Elephas maximus indicus: one gene and its partner. The protein of the gene in region 1 binds, or shares a complex with, the protein of each later gene. Links are inferred from orthologs where the notes say so. Each region holds a gene or a part of one and is shown in the gene's direction. Other genes may lie near its edges. The genes, in order: CCND1 and AMBRA1.

Region 1 (7,073 bases):
AACTCGGAGTCTCCCCACCGGAGACCCCGGCCGTCCCACCCACCCCCAGGGCCAAGGCGAAGCGTAGAAACGCTTTCTGGAGGGATCCACAGGGGGAAGCCGGCTAGAAAGGCGGGGGGTACGTCCCCGCGGAAGATCCTCGAGAAAGGGCGGGGGAGGGCAGGTGACAGGCCCCGGGGCGCGGGAGGGACGTCCTGCTCCCGCGGGGCCAGGGCGCGTGGGAGCCGACGACGGTCTCAGCGTGGTCCCGCCGCCTGCAAAGCCGCAGCCCCAGGCTCCGTGGCCCCGCTGGTCCTGGAGCGGCCCCGCGAGCCCTCGCACCGGCAGAAGCCCTCTCAGACATCCAGGGGCACGTGGCCTCTGAAGTCATAGCCCCCATCCCCGCCCGAGTTCTCCGCCTTGGCTGGAGAGGCTTTCTTCTACACCTGGGCGCCCACTCCCCACTGGGAGCTTGAGCCGGCAGGCCGGAAAATACTGAACTTTGGGGTTCATTTTGCTCAGGGCACCAGGCAACGCGTTTTGAGTGGGCGAGGATCAAGGGGATAGAATCTTCTTTCAACTTCAAGAGTTGCACCTCCTCCCTCGCAATCCCAAAAGCGTCTTTGGGTCCAGGGCCCCACTACTGTTGGGGTTTTTAAGTCCTGCGCCCACTTCGCCCGCGTCCGTAGGGGCAGGCAGTGTCCCAGCCCCGCCGCCGGACGTCTAGGGGCGGGGGGAGCCTGTGTGTGGCTTAAATTAAGGGATCGCTGATGGGGGCGGCGTGGGGTGCGGCCGCCCCCGTCCCAAGCTGCTGGCTACCCCAAGTGGGCGCCGAGGCTCGGGTGCGCTGGGCGGGCAGCTTTGGGGCACGCGCAGTCGGCGCCGCGGAGCCCTTGCGGAGCTGCTGAGCACGTGGCTCTCGGTGCGCGCCCCAAAAGCTAGCAGCGTGGGGGCAGGGGAGCCCAAGCGCCCCCGGAACCCCGCGGCCCGCCTTCGGAAGCGCTTTCCAGTGCGACTTAAGGGCTTAACAATGGAAAACTCGCGGTGCTGGAGCCAAGTCCTTTCAAGTCGCCGCCAGGTATGCGGCTGCAGGTGACCCCACCTGGGTGCGCCCGGTCGCCGTCCTCCCGTGGGGAGGAGGGGAGTGCGGGTGCCGTAGGGCGACGCCAGCGGAAGGTCGCCCCTCTGGCCGCAGCCCCCTCGGGAGAGCCCCCTGCTCAGGCAGCGCGCAGCCGCGGTGGGACCTGGGTCGGCTCCGCGGCGCGCGGGTTCCTGAATGAACGCGTTCCCTTCCCCCTTTGAATGAAGGTTCCCACAGCCAGGGACGGTGGCAAACGCGCGCCGCAGCGGAATGCGCCCTCTCGGGCCAGCGATCCGCCCGGCCGCTGCCACCGCCCAGGGGACCGAGGCGAGGGAGGTGGGGATGGGGGTTCCAGTAACTTAGGGTTTCCTTTCACACGAACGCGGTTTCCCTCCGAATTGGGCCACCCGACCTTTGTCTCCAAGTGGTCCCACGCAATCCACGCGGAGCGCTTTAAACGAGCTCGGAATGCGCAGTGTCGGCGGCGTGGTGGGTTTTACAAACAGTGCCAAATGAAAGCGGCAACGGAAAAGTGCTGAAAAGTTGCTTTACTCTGCAAAATAAAAAAAAATCAAAATGCGTCTTCTGCTCTGTTAGCAGCAATTAACCTCATGGGGCCGGGCGGTGGGTTTCCTCGGGAGCTAGGGGGCCGCCAGGCTGGGCTCTCCCGGCGGGGGCTGGGCGCCGGGCGCTCCCCGCGGGGCCCCAAATTCCTGCGCCTCCCCCACCGGTTCCTGGACGGCTCTACACGCCCGCCGGCCGGGCTTGCACTTTTGCGCCCGTCCCTGAGCCGGGAAATCAACAAAGTTCCTCCTCGAGATCTGCCCGGCCCGCCTAGTAACAGCGCCGCGCCCCCATTGGCTCATGCTAATTCCAGTTTCCTCTCTTTCTCGCCGTGGGGGGGCAGCTCCCTCCTGATCCCGGAGCCCGAGTGGCCGGGGTGGGCGATCCTCCTTATGCCCTGCTGCCCCTCGCCAACGTCGGCGACTCGCGCCTCTGGCCGGGCCGGGGCGCACACCGGGGCGCGAGCCCCTGGACCCTCGAGGCCCTGCCGCCGGTGAGGGCGCGCAGCCCCATAAATCATCGGGCGGCCGCCCGGTCGGGAATTTATGAATGAAAAGCTGCCTGGCCGCCCTCGTGCGCCGGCGGAGGCTGCTGAGGCTACGCCGTGCCCGGGGTCGGCCGGGGCGTGGGTACCCGGGGAGGGCGCATGGCGGTGGGCGCGTCCTGCCCGGTCACCCATCGCCTCGGGGGCTGTGACCCTCCCAGACCCGGAATATTAGCCGCCCTCATTCCGGCGGGGGATGGGGCGCGGGAGGAATCCCCCCTGTCCCCTGGCGGGGGGCGTCTTCATTCGCAGCGTGCGCCCTTTCCACCCGGAGGGCTATCTAAAAATCCGTTTTCTTTTGCGCCTTTACTGTTAGGGGAGTCGGTGGTTTTTAGGACATTAAACTAGGTTCAAAGAGACGTAAATGAACAGTTTTCTAAAGTGGGGACAGGTAGTGTAAAAACAAACAAAAAAAAGTTAAGAATGGGTAAAATAGCCTTTTATTTAAAAAAAAAAAGAAAAAACACACCAAAAAGCCAATCTCCATTTAATAAAAATACCGTATATATTTTTGTGTGTCTTTCTTAAATTTAAGTTAATATTAGGGACCCGATCCTATTACCACGATCACATATAGATTTTGTTTAAAATCATCTGTTCAAGCACCCATTTCTCTCACTTTCAATTGTTCTAATTCTTGCCAGCCCCCTGGCGCTCACAAGCGCAGCCCCAGGGCAAGTTCGAAAGGTGAAGAGACGTTCACAACCCCGGCAAAACCGTGTAGGAAGCTTCCGGTGGTCTCGTCCCAGGCAGAGAGGAGGCTAATATTTCCAGCAATTTAATTTCTTTTTTAATTAAAAAGTGAGGCGGGACAGACCTCTGTTTCGCAGCCTTCCATTCCAAGGTGTTTTTCCGCTGTTGAAATGCCGGGACTGGGGGAGGGGACACTTGGGGACCCCTGCAAGGATGTACTTGCCAAGGTAGGAGGACAGTCCGCGGATCCCTCAGGCGAGCAGGACAGGATGATGGAAATGCTGGCCACCATCTTGGGCTGCTTCTGGAATTTTCGGGGATTTATTTTATTTTATTTTTTGAGCGAGCCTGTGCTGGGCTGAAGCCCCTTTTAACGTTTAGGGTTACCCCCTCGGGCATTTCCAATGACCCCCCCGTGGGCCGGAATGAAGGTGCCACCAGGGTCCTATGCTCTGCCCCGCGTCCCCGCCTGTTAAACAGTTCCTGAAATTTACACGTGTTAATGAAAATGAAAGAAAAGGCAGAAGCTGTGATTCCTTCCTTGGCCGTCCCTCCGCCCGTGGGTGACCTCGTGGCGTTCTCGGAAATGTGCCCATTCTCCCGGCTCGGATATAGGGTGTCGCCGAGCCCCAGCGTCCCCCCTCCATGCGGTCTCCCCAGGCTCCGTGTGGCCTGCCCGCCCTCTTCGTTGTCCCCTTCTGCAACGCCCCCTCCCCAAATCCCCGGGGACCACTTGGAGGGAACCGGGCCCCCCTGCACCCCTCTTCCCCCGCGGGGAGAAAGGCCGCGGCGGGGCGATTTGCATTTCTATGAAAACCCGGCTTCGGGGGGAACTCCGCCGCGGGGCAGGAGCGGCGCCTCTGGGATGCCTTTTGGGCTCTGCCCCTCGCTGCTCCCCGGCTCTCGGCCCGCGCCCCCTCCCCCTGCGCCCGCCCCGCCCCCCCGCTCCCATTCTCTGCCCGGCTTTGATCTCTGCTTAACAACAGTAACGTCACAAGGACTACAGGGGAGTTTTGTTGGAAGTTGCAAAGTCCTGGAGCCTCCAGAGGGCTGTCGGCGCAGTAGCAGCGAGCAGCAGCGGCCGCGCGCTCCTGCGAGGGGCAGACGAGGGCGAGAGAGCGCGGGGCAGCGGGAGGAGCGAGGCCGAGCTCGCGGACCGAGCGGGAGCCCGAGCCTGAGCCCAGCCGACCGCCTTCTCCGCCGCCCAGCCCAGCCGCCGGCATGGAGCACCAGCTCCTGTGCTGCGAGGTGGAGACCATCCGCCGCGCGTACCCCGATGCCAACCTTCTCAACGACCGGGTGCTGCAGGCCATGCTCAAGGCCGAAGAGACCTGCGCGCCCTCGGTGTCCTACTTCAAGTGCGTGCAGAAGGAGATACTGCCGTCCATGCGCAAGATCGTGGCCACCTGGATGCTGGAGGTGCGTGGCGCCGGGCCGCCCTTTGGGGACTTTCTGCAACTTGTTGCCTAAGCCCAGATTGCTTTGCCTCTCATCTCTCCCTTCTTTCACCCTCACCCCAACTTTCCAGTTCGCCGAGGGTTGCTAGGAATCTGTCTTTTCCAAAGAAATAGATATTGTGGGTATTTTTTTTTTTTTTTAACCAGGAAAAAATGGGGATGGGGGTGGGGGCGTTCGAAACTCCCTTTCCTACGGGGTGGAGGGCTCGAGGAGGGGTGCCTTCGGAGAAGCGAGTGGCGGGGGCACCCGAATAAGCCGAAAGGTGCGGGTCGGCAGGCTGGGGGCGCCTTTGGTGGCCCCCTCCCGGCCGCCACCGCCGCGCAGCCCCCGCCTGCGTCCGCGCCTATCTGCGCCTCCTCTCCCGGCCGCTGCGGCCCGGGGCGCCAGCCCCGGGGGGAGGGGGTATCGATTTGATTTTTAAATTAATATCCATGGACACGTATGCAAGGGCCACTCGTGCCAGTATTATGCGCCATCTTTGTTCTTTTATTGCAAAGCAAAAGTGTTTATTAATAATTGGGGGGAGGGTGGGGGCGGGGAGCGGCCGGCGAGGCGCTGGGGCCGCGGCGAGGGGCCGCCCGGCTGCCGGGAGCCAGGCGGGAGGGGTGCGGGAACAGGGTGTGGGCATTTCTGGGGGGACCCCGCTTGGGAAGTGTGGCCCCTTTGTTCAAGCAGCGACCCCTGGGGCTCCCTGCACCGCCAGCTGGCCCGGAGAGCACGCCGGGCTGCAAGGTCGCGTGGCCCCCAAGACACCAGGAATTGGCCCCCGTCTGCGAGGGGCTTGGCTTGGGGGGGCCTGCCCAGAGTCATCCGGGTGTCCGGGGCACATTTTCAGGCCTGCGGTGGGCGTCTGGGGGGACCGCGAGTATTTTAAAATAATTTTTGAAAGTGCGGCGTGGTGCCCTTGCGAGAGGGAAACGGCGCCCGCGCCCAGGGGGAAGGGGTGCCCCCGAGTTTCAGTCCCTGGGGCGCTCCCTGGAGCCTGTAGTGAGCTCCAGAGCCCCGGCCTAGGTAAAGGGCCGTCCGGGGATCGTTTTCAGGGATTTTTTGTGCGCCCACTTATTTTTTTTATATTTTTAAATATTTTTTGAAAAGATGACGTCTGGGGAAATGCGGCGCTGCGGCCTGGGACGCCACCTTTGTGTCTCGCAGGCGGGGCGAGCGCGGCGCCCAACCCCGTGGTCCAGCCCCGCGGCCCCGCGGCCCATTTGGTGCGGGCTCCCAGCCAGAAGGACCCCCAGAGCCCCCAGGTGGGCTGGGGTCTCCCGGCCGCACCGCTGCCCGCGGTGCCCACTCCCGCCCCCACCGTGCCAGCCGCGCGGGACTTTCCCTTTCAGTTTCGGAGGTGGATGGGTGCTGGGGGCGCGCGGGGGTGGGGACGCGTCATCGGAGGCTCAAGCCACCCCCTGCCCGGTGCCTCCCCGCGCTCCGGCGCCGCAGCCCCGGCGCGCGCGGGGTGGGCGTGCGGAGACGTCGGGCGGGGGTCCCGCGCCCCCAGCGGCGGTGGTCACGGCCCCCCTGCCCCTGCAGGTCTGCGAGGAGCAGAAGTGCGAGGAGGAGGTCTTCCCGCTGGCCATGAACTATCTGGACCGCTTCCTGTCCCTGGAGCCGGTGAAGAAGAGCCGCCTGCAGCTGCTGGGGGCCACCTGCATGTTCGTGGCCTCCAAGATGAAGGAGACCATCCCCCTGACGGCCGAGAAGCTGTGCATCTACACAGACAACTCCATCCGACCCGACGAGCTGCTGGTAACCGGGGGACCCCCACGGCCCCCAGGCACCCCGTTTGTTACAGGATCCCAGGGATGGGGGCGCGGGTCGCGGGGAGGCCCAGCCAGACGCTGACAGATCCTCGGGCCTGAGGGAGGGCGGCCACACCGCTCCGGGGCAGGGGGGAGGCCAGGAACAGCAGGCGGCAGTTATCCGGGCCGCCCCCCCATCTCGGCGCCCGCCGCCCCACATCCCACTTTCGACCACGTTTGCACCCCGGAGCGAGGGCGAAAAGTGGACGGCGCGCGCCCTCTAGCGGTGGCGGCGCGCTCAGGGCGCCCGCGCTAATTAATAAGGCCTTTGGTTGCAGATGGTGGGAGGTCTTTTTGTCTCCACTTGTGAACAGTCGGCTTAATGACAATGAGCACGGGGGCCTTTTCACGCGGCACCTTCTCTGTTTTGATCCGGAATTGCGGGTCGTCTGTCCCCCTCGCCCTACTTCCTGAACCCCTCAACAGGCCACATCCCTCCTTCCCACCCTCTGCCCTGCTCCTGGCCGGCATCCCAGGCCCCCCAGGGCTGACCCTGCACCTCTTTCTCTCTCTCTCTTTCTCTGTCTCTCTGCCCGCTTCATCTCCCCAGCACATGGAGCTGCTTCTGGTGAACAAGCTCAAGTGGAACCTGGCTGCCATGACCCCCCACGATTTCATCGAACACTTCCTGTCCAAGATGCCCGTGGCCCAGGAGAACAAGCAGATTATCCGAAAACACGCCCAGACCTTCGTGGCGCTCTGTGCCACAGGTAGGTAGGGTGGCGGGCCAGCCCCTCCTCCCCAGGCAACTGGGGCCCAGCTTCTTGCTCAGTTTCCCCGCCTCGACAGTGCCCGTATCATACCCCTTCTTGCTCTTCCTCTGCCCTGTTGAGCAGAGGGTTGGGATCTTCCTTTTTCAACGAGGGCTAAATGGAGGGAGGGGTTGCTGTCTTGGGGTCATGCAGCTGAGGTTGGTCATGGCCACCATTCTGTGCATTGGGACTGGTAGGGGCAG
Region 2 (7,287 bases), about 30 Mb from region 1:
TGCTCTTAAAGCCAAGGCCTAACCCTCTTCCTGAACTTCCTAATAAGATGACACATGATACCATGGACTGCCAGAAGAGCAACAAATCTGTCTTGGAAGAGGCACAGACAGAATGTTCCTTAGAAGCGAGGATGGCAAGACTTCATCTAACGTGCTTTGGACACGTTATCAGGAGGGACCAATCCCTGGAGAAGGACATCATGCTTGGTAAAGTAGAAGGCCAACAAAACAGGCAGACCCTCGAAAAGATGGATTGACAGAGTGGCTGCAACAATGGGCCCACACAGTAAAAATTGTGAGGGTGATGCACGATCAGGCAGTGTTTCATTCTGTTGTACACAGAGTCACTGTGAGTAGCAACCAACTCGATGGGCACCTAACCATAACAGCTACAGAGTTATTTCACCCTAGGTTCAGCCTTATTGCTACCACCCAGAATGCAGTAGAGCAAGTTTCCAAATCCCAGAGTCAAGGTTGGGAGCAGAGTCTCCTCCCTTTCCCTCCCTCTCTCCCCCAGGCAATTCCTCTAGGCTAACATGCCCAATCCTCTTCCTTGTTTAAAAAAAAAAACAGTTGCCCTTGAGTCGATTCTGACGCACAGCAAACCTATAGGACAGATAAAACTGCCCTGTAGGGTTTCTAAGGGGCATCTGGTGGATTGGAACTGTTGACCTTTTGTTAGCAGCTGAACTCTTAACTACAGCCCTACCAGGGTTCCTTTGCTGGTTTAGTCTTTCCAAATTCTTTCCATGTGATGGACAATGGCAAGGTCCATTCTTAGGTTGACCAATTATCCCAGTTTTCCCAGAACTGTCACAGTTGCTCTGAGTCAGAATTAACTCCACGGTAGTGTTTTTTGTTTGTTTTTTGGGGGGCAGTGGGGAGGCAGAGGAGGGTGTCACAGTTTTAGCATTGAAAGACCCATGTCCTGGGAAACACTTCAGTCTTGGGCAAACAGGACATTTGGTTACCCTACTTCAGAGAATGCACTATGCTACCTTTAAAGTTATGACTCCACCTGGAGAATGCTATACAATGAACAATCAATACAATAATGACTTATTGAGTATTAACACCAATATTTAGGGCATCAGTGGTACAACCCAGGATGATCTTTACCTCTACCCACTTGGTTTCTTTTTTAAAGTTCTTCCTCCAGTGTGAGGAGTATCCTGTAGGTTTGGGGGTTTCAACTCCTTTTCTCTTATGGACAATATTTCCATCCACACAGACATCTCCATAAGAACAAAACAGTCGGTTGTTGTCACATGGAAGCTTAAATCCACACTTCAAAAGAAACAGTTCTCTAAAGAAAATGTATCTCTAGGAATGCGATTCTGCCTGCAGAATAAGCCGTATTTTCCATGATCTCACAGAACAGTATAGCTCCATAGCTGTCTCAGTTTCTCAAATATCTCCATTTTCCGATGGTCATTTTAGATTTATATTTGCATAACTTTCAGGTGATTTTCCCAAAATAAAAGTCTCTGGCTTTTAAAAAGCAAAAACTTATCATAAACTTGAAATTACAGTTTCTTAGCTTTTATTACTGCAATAAAAGTTCCAAAATAATGTAGTAATTTAGGTCAAATTTGAATCAGGGGTGTAGCTCTAGACATTATGCCCCACAAACCTTTCTAAAAAAGGAAGCTTATCTATAGCATGTATTCTAGGAATTCTGGGAAGACTGCAAAGAAAGGTCTCTTTGCCAGCTCCTCATTTGGCTCCAGAAATGTGGCAGAGACTGCTTGTTTAGCTGTCACTTAGTATCCATGTGCCTTCCACCTTCAGTGGGTAAATGGCTGCCTGGGATAAAGACTACTTCCCAGCTTGCCTTTCATCTAGGTATGGCTATGTAACTAAATCCTGGTGAGTAGATATAAGTGGAAGTGCCTGTGTTACTTTCAAGATGTGTGGTTATGGCTAGGAGACGTGCTTTTCCTTCTGAGCTTCCTGCTTTTTGGAATGTGGTCATGATGGCTGGAGCTTGAGTAGACATCTGGGATCTGAGGTGAAAGCCACTTTTAGCCACTAATAGCAAAGCAATAAGATAAGAAGGAGCCTCGTATCTGACACTGAGACACCATACTTACCCTGGGGTGTGCATCTCTGAATTTCTTTTATACGACAAAGAAATAAACCTCTACCTCCCTTGTTGTTAATTGCTGTCAAATGGATTCCAGCTCAGGGCACCCATGTGTGCAGTGCAGAACTGCTCCACAGGGTTTTCAAGGCTCTGTCCTGTAGAAAGTAGATTTCTAGGCCAATTTTCCAAGGCCCCTCTAAATAGGTTTGAATTGCCAATTTTTTGGCTAGTAATCAAGTGCTTAACTCTTTGTGACACCCAGGAATTCCCTGCCTTCCTTGATTACTCTTATTATTTGTTTATGTGCAAAAAAGACTAATAATAAATAATAGGGTTATAGCTGCCTCTTTCTAAGTGCAGCAATACCTATTACACAGAAAAAGGAAATAACACAAATGTTCAGCAATGGGGAGCATGATCAGTGTATCCCCTCAGTGGACTATTGTGCAACAGTTAAAGAAAAAACTAATAAGTTTTAATAGGGGAGATGATATAATGAAAAATTATAACGTAATTGTATCTCTCCTTGAATTAAACTTCTAAAAATTATATATGGATATTTCCAAGCACTTCATGGGAACATGAACAAATTAAAATTATACATTTTGGAGGCAGACTTTTAAGTTGTTGTTTTTTAAGACTTTCATTAATGCTACTATACTGTTTACTCATTTTAAAAGTCCTCTAAAACAGTGGTAGACAACCAAAGCCCAGTGTCTTGTCCTTATGTATGGCATGTTATGGTTGCTGGTCTCATGTCTATGTGTTATTTTTATGGGTTGTCCCTAAGTATTTTCACAGACTAAAAGAAGAAAGTACAGAAAGTAACAATAAATTGTAAATAAAATTAATGCTGTAAGGATGTGTTCTTTCACTTTAATTAAATTATAAATTATTCAAGGACTGGGACTATCTTATTTTCTTTTTATGCCCTTCCAAGTCTCCTCACTCCTTAGGAGGAGGTAGGGTACTCTGTATTACTGTTCACACTTGGTAATCCATATTTGTAGTGATCCATGTGTTTTACTGAGTTGTACTCAGGATGCACATATAAATCCCTACTTGTGCTGAGCATATTTGGGTACTAAGAGACTTCAGAAACAGGCCATTGTTGTGCATGAAAATGTCAACATACTTTATCATCTGATCCCAGAGACTTTTGATCATTATGTAAGAACCACACCTGTGGTTTTATGGTCCCTGTGCTAAAAAAAACCCCAACCTATGGATTCCAACCCTTTGCCCTCGAGCGGATTCCAACTCATAGGGACCCTATAGGACGGAGTAGAACTGCCCCATAGAGTTTCCCAGGAGCGGCTGGTGGATTCGAACTCCTTAGCAGTCGAGCTCTTAACTACTACGCCACCAGGTGCCAGGTAAATCAGTATCTAGACATGTCGAAGAAAATAAAATGCGGTCCATGGATTGGCTTTCCCCTGATTTAAGGTCAGATGACACACCCGTGGGTTTTCTCAGCTTCTTGCTACGTTTGTGGGACTTTAAGGGCTTTTGTATTTACTTTGTTTCTATCTGGATTCGCATTCTCTTCCTCTCGCCATAAATACATACATATTTTTGGTGAATGTATTACTGGAAAGCCATGTAATCACATAATGTTAGAGCTGGAGAAGATTTCAGGGATCATTCATCTCACTGTTTTGTGAGAAAACTAACGATCAAAAGAGGTGATTTGCTCAATTGGGATAAATATTTTTCTAAGTTCATAAGGTAGTCGAACTGTATAGCTAAACTACAATTAGACTACAAGTGTTACTGCACCATGATTTGATTTTCAACACTCTCAAGAAAAACTCCAGGTGTCTACACAACTTAAACAGCCGGCAACCGACACAGAAAATGGCAGAAGCACAGGTTTAGAATCTGGACTTGTTTATTTATGCCTTGGACGGGAGCCGGACCTTGAAGCCACGGAGCTGTTTTCCGGCGCTCGGCTCTGGTGCCTTGAACGATAGCTCAGGCGCTCCTCCATTAATGTCTGGGCGTTCGTGTGTTCGGTGATCTTTTGCGCCGTCTTCTTGCTTGATGTCTCCTGAGCGGTGGCGGCGCCCGGTCGAGGGCTGAGTTACCCGCGAGGCTCCACACTCGGGCCGCTTTCTTCCGCCGGTCGGTAGAGCGGACCTCTTGCGTCCTTCCTGCCTATTCCTTCCTCCTCTTTGTGGCTCAGCCTGCTCGCCGGGCTGCAAACCGAGCCCCCACTCGCCTTGCAGGTAGGCCCGGGAGGAGCCTGGGAGGCCCGGCCCGGCATCCTTCAGCCACGGGGTTGAGAAGACCTTGGCGCCGGCGGGTGGGCGGGCGGACCCGCGGCCGAGACTCCGCCAGAGGAGGGGCTGTCGGGCTGCGTTCGGGGGCGCGGCCGGAGGGGCGGCAGGGAACTGAAGGAGAAGCCGGAAGGAGGGAGAGATGCTGGGGCAGCCCAGTGTGGTTCGGTAGGGAGGGGATGTTGGGTCTAGGGTGGGTGTCGGCGCCCCCTGTGTCGGGGGAAAATCGCCTTCCAGAATGGTTAAAGATTTGCGCACTTTGACCCTCCTCCCTTTTTCCTTTCCCGCTTCCTAAGGCTCCGGGTGTCATGACTCAATTGCACTGGGGACCCCCTCTGAGTCCGGCCTTTGGAGGGACCCTTGAGTAGGTGGAGGCGTGTGGAACAAGGCCCTCTGGCTCCTCTGAGCGAAGTGTCATTTTCTCGCCTCTTTTTTGGGTAGGGAAACTGAGGCTGAGGTCTGGGACGTGAGTTTTCCCCATATCCCCTGCAGATGTTGAAGGCACTGTAAGTCACTTTTTTGTCATTTACCAGCTCACCTTTTTTCGTTTTACCAGGTACTCCTTTATGCACATAGTGATTTGTCATTTGATTGTCTGTGGTTCCTTCTTCTTAGGAATATAAATTCTGTTACCGGTGACTTCAGAAGTAAAGAGACCATGTGATCTTTTGGCTGGTTTTGCTTTTCAAAGTCTGTGTTATTTTAGCGAGAATAGCAATGACAGTTTCTTTTTGTTTCTTGGTTGATAATTTTGTTTGCTGTCCAGTTTGCTTTCTAGTTGATGCTTTTTTTCTCCTCCTTCCCCTCAGCCGGTTTTTAGTGGAAATCTTTCAACTATGGTGTCCTGACAGGATGGTCAAGATTTTGAAATCAGATGGTTGGCCTTGTGAGGGTTTGCCTTCCGGGAAGTATCCAAAGGAAACCTAAGGAGTCCCTTTTGGAATACTTTTTCGTGTTTTTGATTAGTGGTCAGTGCATATACTAGAGGTAAAAGGCTGTGTGCAGGAATCATGCAAATATTGAGGTATTTAAATTGAAGGTTAACATTCTGGGAACTCTGTTATGTTTCTCTCCAAACTTGGGAAATTTGGGGAGTTACTTATTCTTACTCGTTTTATTTTCATTGAATTTGGTGTTATGATCCTAATTTGTGTAACTTTTTGTTGAAAAAAATAATCAGCGTAGAGGTCAAGCTAGGTCGGATAAGTTCTCATAGTATGTAGAATCATTGGGAGAAGCCTTTTAAGGGAGAACTGATTAAATCCCTGGTGCTTGGATGGAAAATATACAAGTCTCTGACCCAGCACAATTTTAGCATTCTCGTGTGAGCGTTGGAAAGATTTTTTTTTTCCCCTCTAATTTTTTTGTGGGGTCAGCAAGATTTAAATGAAAGGCCTTTGATCGCGAGTGCTTTTCTAGTCACCAGGATCTCAGTGCTTACTGAAAAGGATTAATGAAGAGCCACCAGACTATACGGAGAATCTAGATTGGGAAGTTAGGTTAAGAATGTGTATTCGTTGAAGAAGAAGGCTTTATGGTAGAAGAGAAATTATATCAGAGGAGAGAACTTAGAGAAGGAAGCGATATTGTCCATTAATCTTTGGTAGGTTCTGGACAGAATTTAGAGTTACGTGTAGTATCTTAGTGGTATCTTATAAGTGCTAAATAATAATAATAAAAAACAAACAACCAAACCCAGTGCCGTCGAGTCGATTCTGACTCATAGCGACTCTATAGAAAGAGTAGAACTGCCCCATAGAGTTTCCAAGGAGCACCTGGCGGATTCAAACTGCCAACCCTTTGGTTAGCAGCTGTAGCACTTAACGACTACGCCACCAGGGCTTCTAAGTGCTAAATAAAGTAAGTGGAAATTGCTGTGAGTGTCGGGAAGAAATATTAGCAACGTTTTATGTTTCTGTAAAAAGTACTTGAAGATGAATTGAGGAAGATAAGAAATTTGGTGGTAGGGCTTATGGGGTAGAGTTTATCAGCGTCTTGCCCCCTTCTCTGCTTTAGGATAGAAATTCACTCCACTTTTAACTTACTTGATCAAATCTTGTTTTGTTCTGTCAGTGTCAGAGTGGGCTGTCTTGTGGGATTTCCTTTCCGAAATGTACAGGTTCAGAATGTGATTGAATTATTCTTTTAGCAAGACAGTTCTTGGGGATTCTTAAAGGTGCTGGTTTCTTTGAATATCCTGTAGAATTTGGCCTGGAATGGAATTATGTATATCACTTGAAAAAGATAAGTTATGTGTATTACTTGAAAATTATTATTTTTATTAACAGAATAACAACTTACACTTTTATACTGTATGATTTTCAAAATATTTTCAATATGTGTTAGGAAACTTAAGAAACTTATTTTTTTGACCATATTCCTTTATGCTGCTTATTAATTATGCTGCTTATTAATGTTGAACCAAAACATTTATGGTGTTTGAGGATCCTCGTGAATGTTGACAGATTATGTTGACTATTTGTCTCACTCCTCCCATAATATGATAAAGTCTTTGCTTCTCTTAAAGGAATTGGAGAAAAAGTTTTGTCGTCGGCACACCAAGGTCTCTTTTTCCAAGATGTGCCTCAGCCTCAATAGAGTTATTTTGGAATGGGATGCAGATTTTTTTTTTTTTTTGCTCAGTGGTTTGGTTTATAAAAACAAAAAATCTGAAGTTCCTTTAATCATAGTCATTCTTGTTTCTTTCTCCAGTTGTTCCTTATAAACCCAAAGAGAACTTTCTGTTTCTTGTCATAATTTGTTTGTATAAAAGTTACAACCTGTCTTGTGGTTTGGGGGTAATTTGTATTTTATCTTTTCAAATTCCTCCCTCCTAAATTAATTAAATCTATTTTCTTTTCTTATAGCTAAAATTAGTTACTGATAAAAGATAAAATGTTTGTAATCAGTTATTGTCGACGT

What was found.
Region 2: the proteins of CCND1 (region 1) and AMBRA1 are in contact, whole or in part, in a cryo-EM structure (PDB 9IVD), measured with the Homo sapiens proteins. The link is inferred for Elephas maximus indicus from reciprocal best matches to the Homo sapiens genes CCND1 and AMBRA1. Residues at the interface, in NP_444284.1 of Homo sapiens: Thr286, Pro287, Thr288, Asp289, Val290, Arg291, Val293, Asp294, Ile295; in NP_001354397.1 of Homo sapiens: Arg54, Ser55, Phe57, Val73, His75, Arg96, Thr97, Trp99, Leu116, Ala139, Arg184, Ile945, Asn1012, Asn1029.

What each region holds. Positions count from the first base shown.
Region 1 is NC_064825.1:132,456,816-132,463,888, forward strand, and holds the start of CCND1 (G1/S-specific cyclin-D1), read left to right. Parts: upstream 1-3,841; 5' UTR 3,842-4,082; coding exon 4,083-4,280; intron 4,281-5,849; coding exon 5,850-6,065; intron 6,066-6,668; coding exon 6,669-6,828; intron 6,829-7,073. UniProt on the Homo sapiens protein: Regulatory component of the cyclin D1-CDK4 (DC) complex that phosphorylates and inhibits members of the retinoblastoma (RB) protein family including RB1 and regulates the cell-cycle during G(1)/S transition.
Region 2 is NC_064825.1:102,060,907-102,068,193, reverse strand, and holds the start of AMBRA1 (activating molecule in BECN1-regulated autophagy protein 1), read left to right. Parts: upstream 1-4,099; 5' UTR 4,100-4,314; intron 4,315-7,287. UniProt on the Homo sapiens protein: Substrate-recognition component of a DCX (DDB1-CUL4-X-box) E3 ubiquitin-protein ligase complex involved in cell cycle control and autophagy.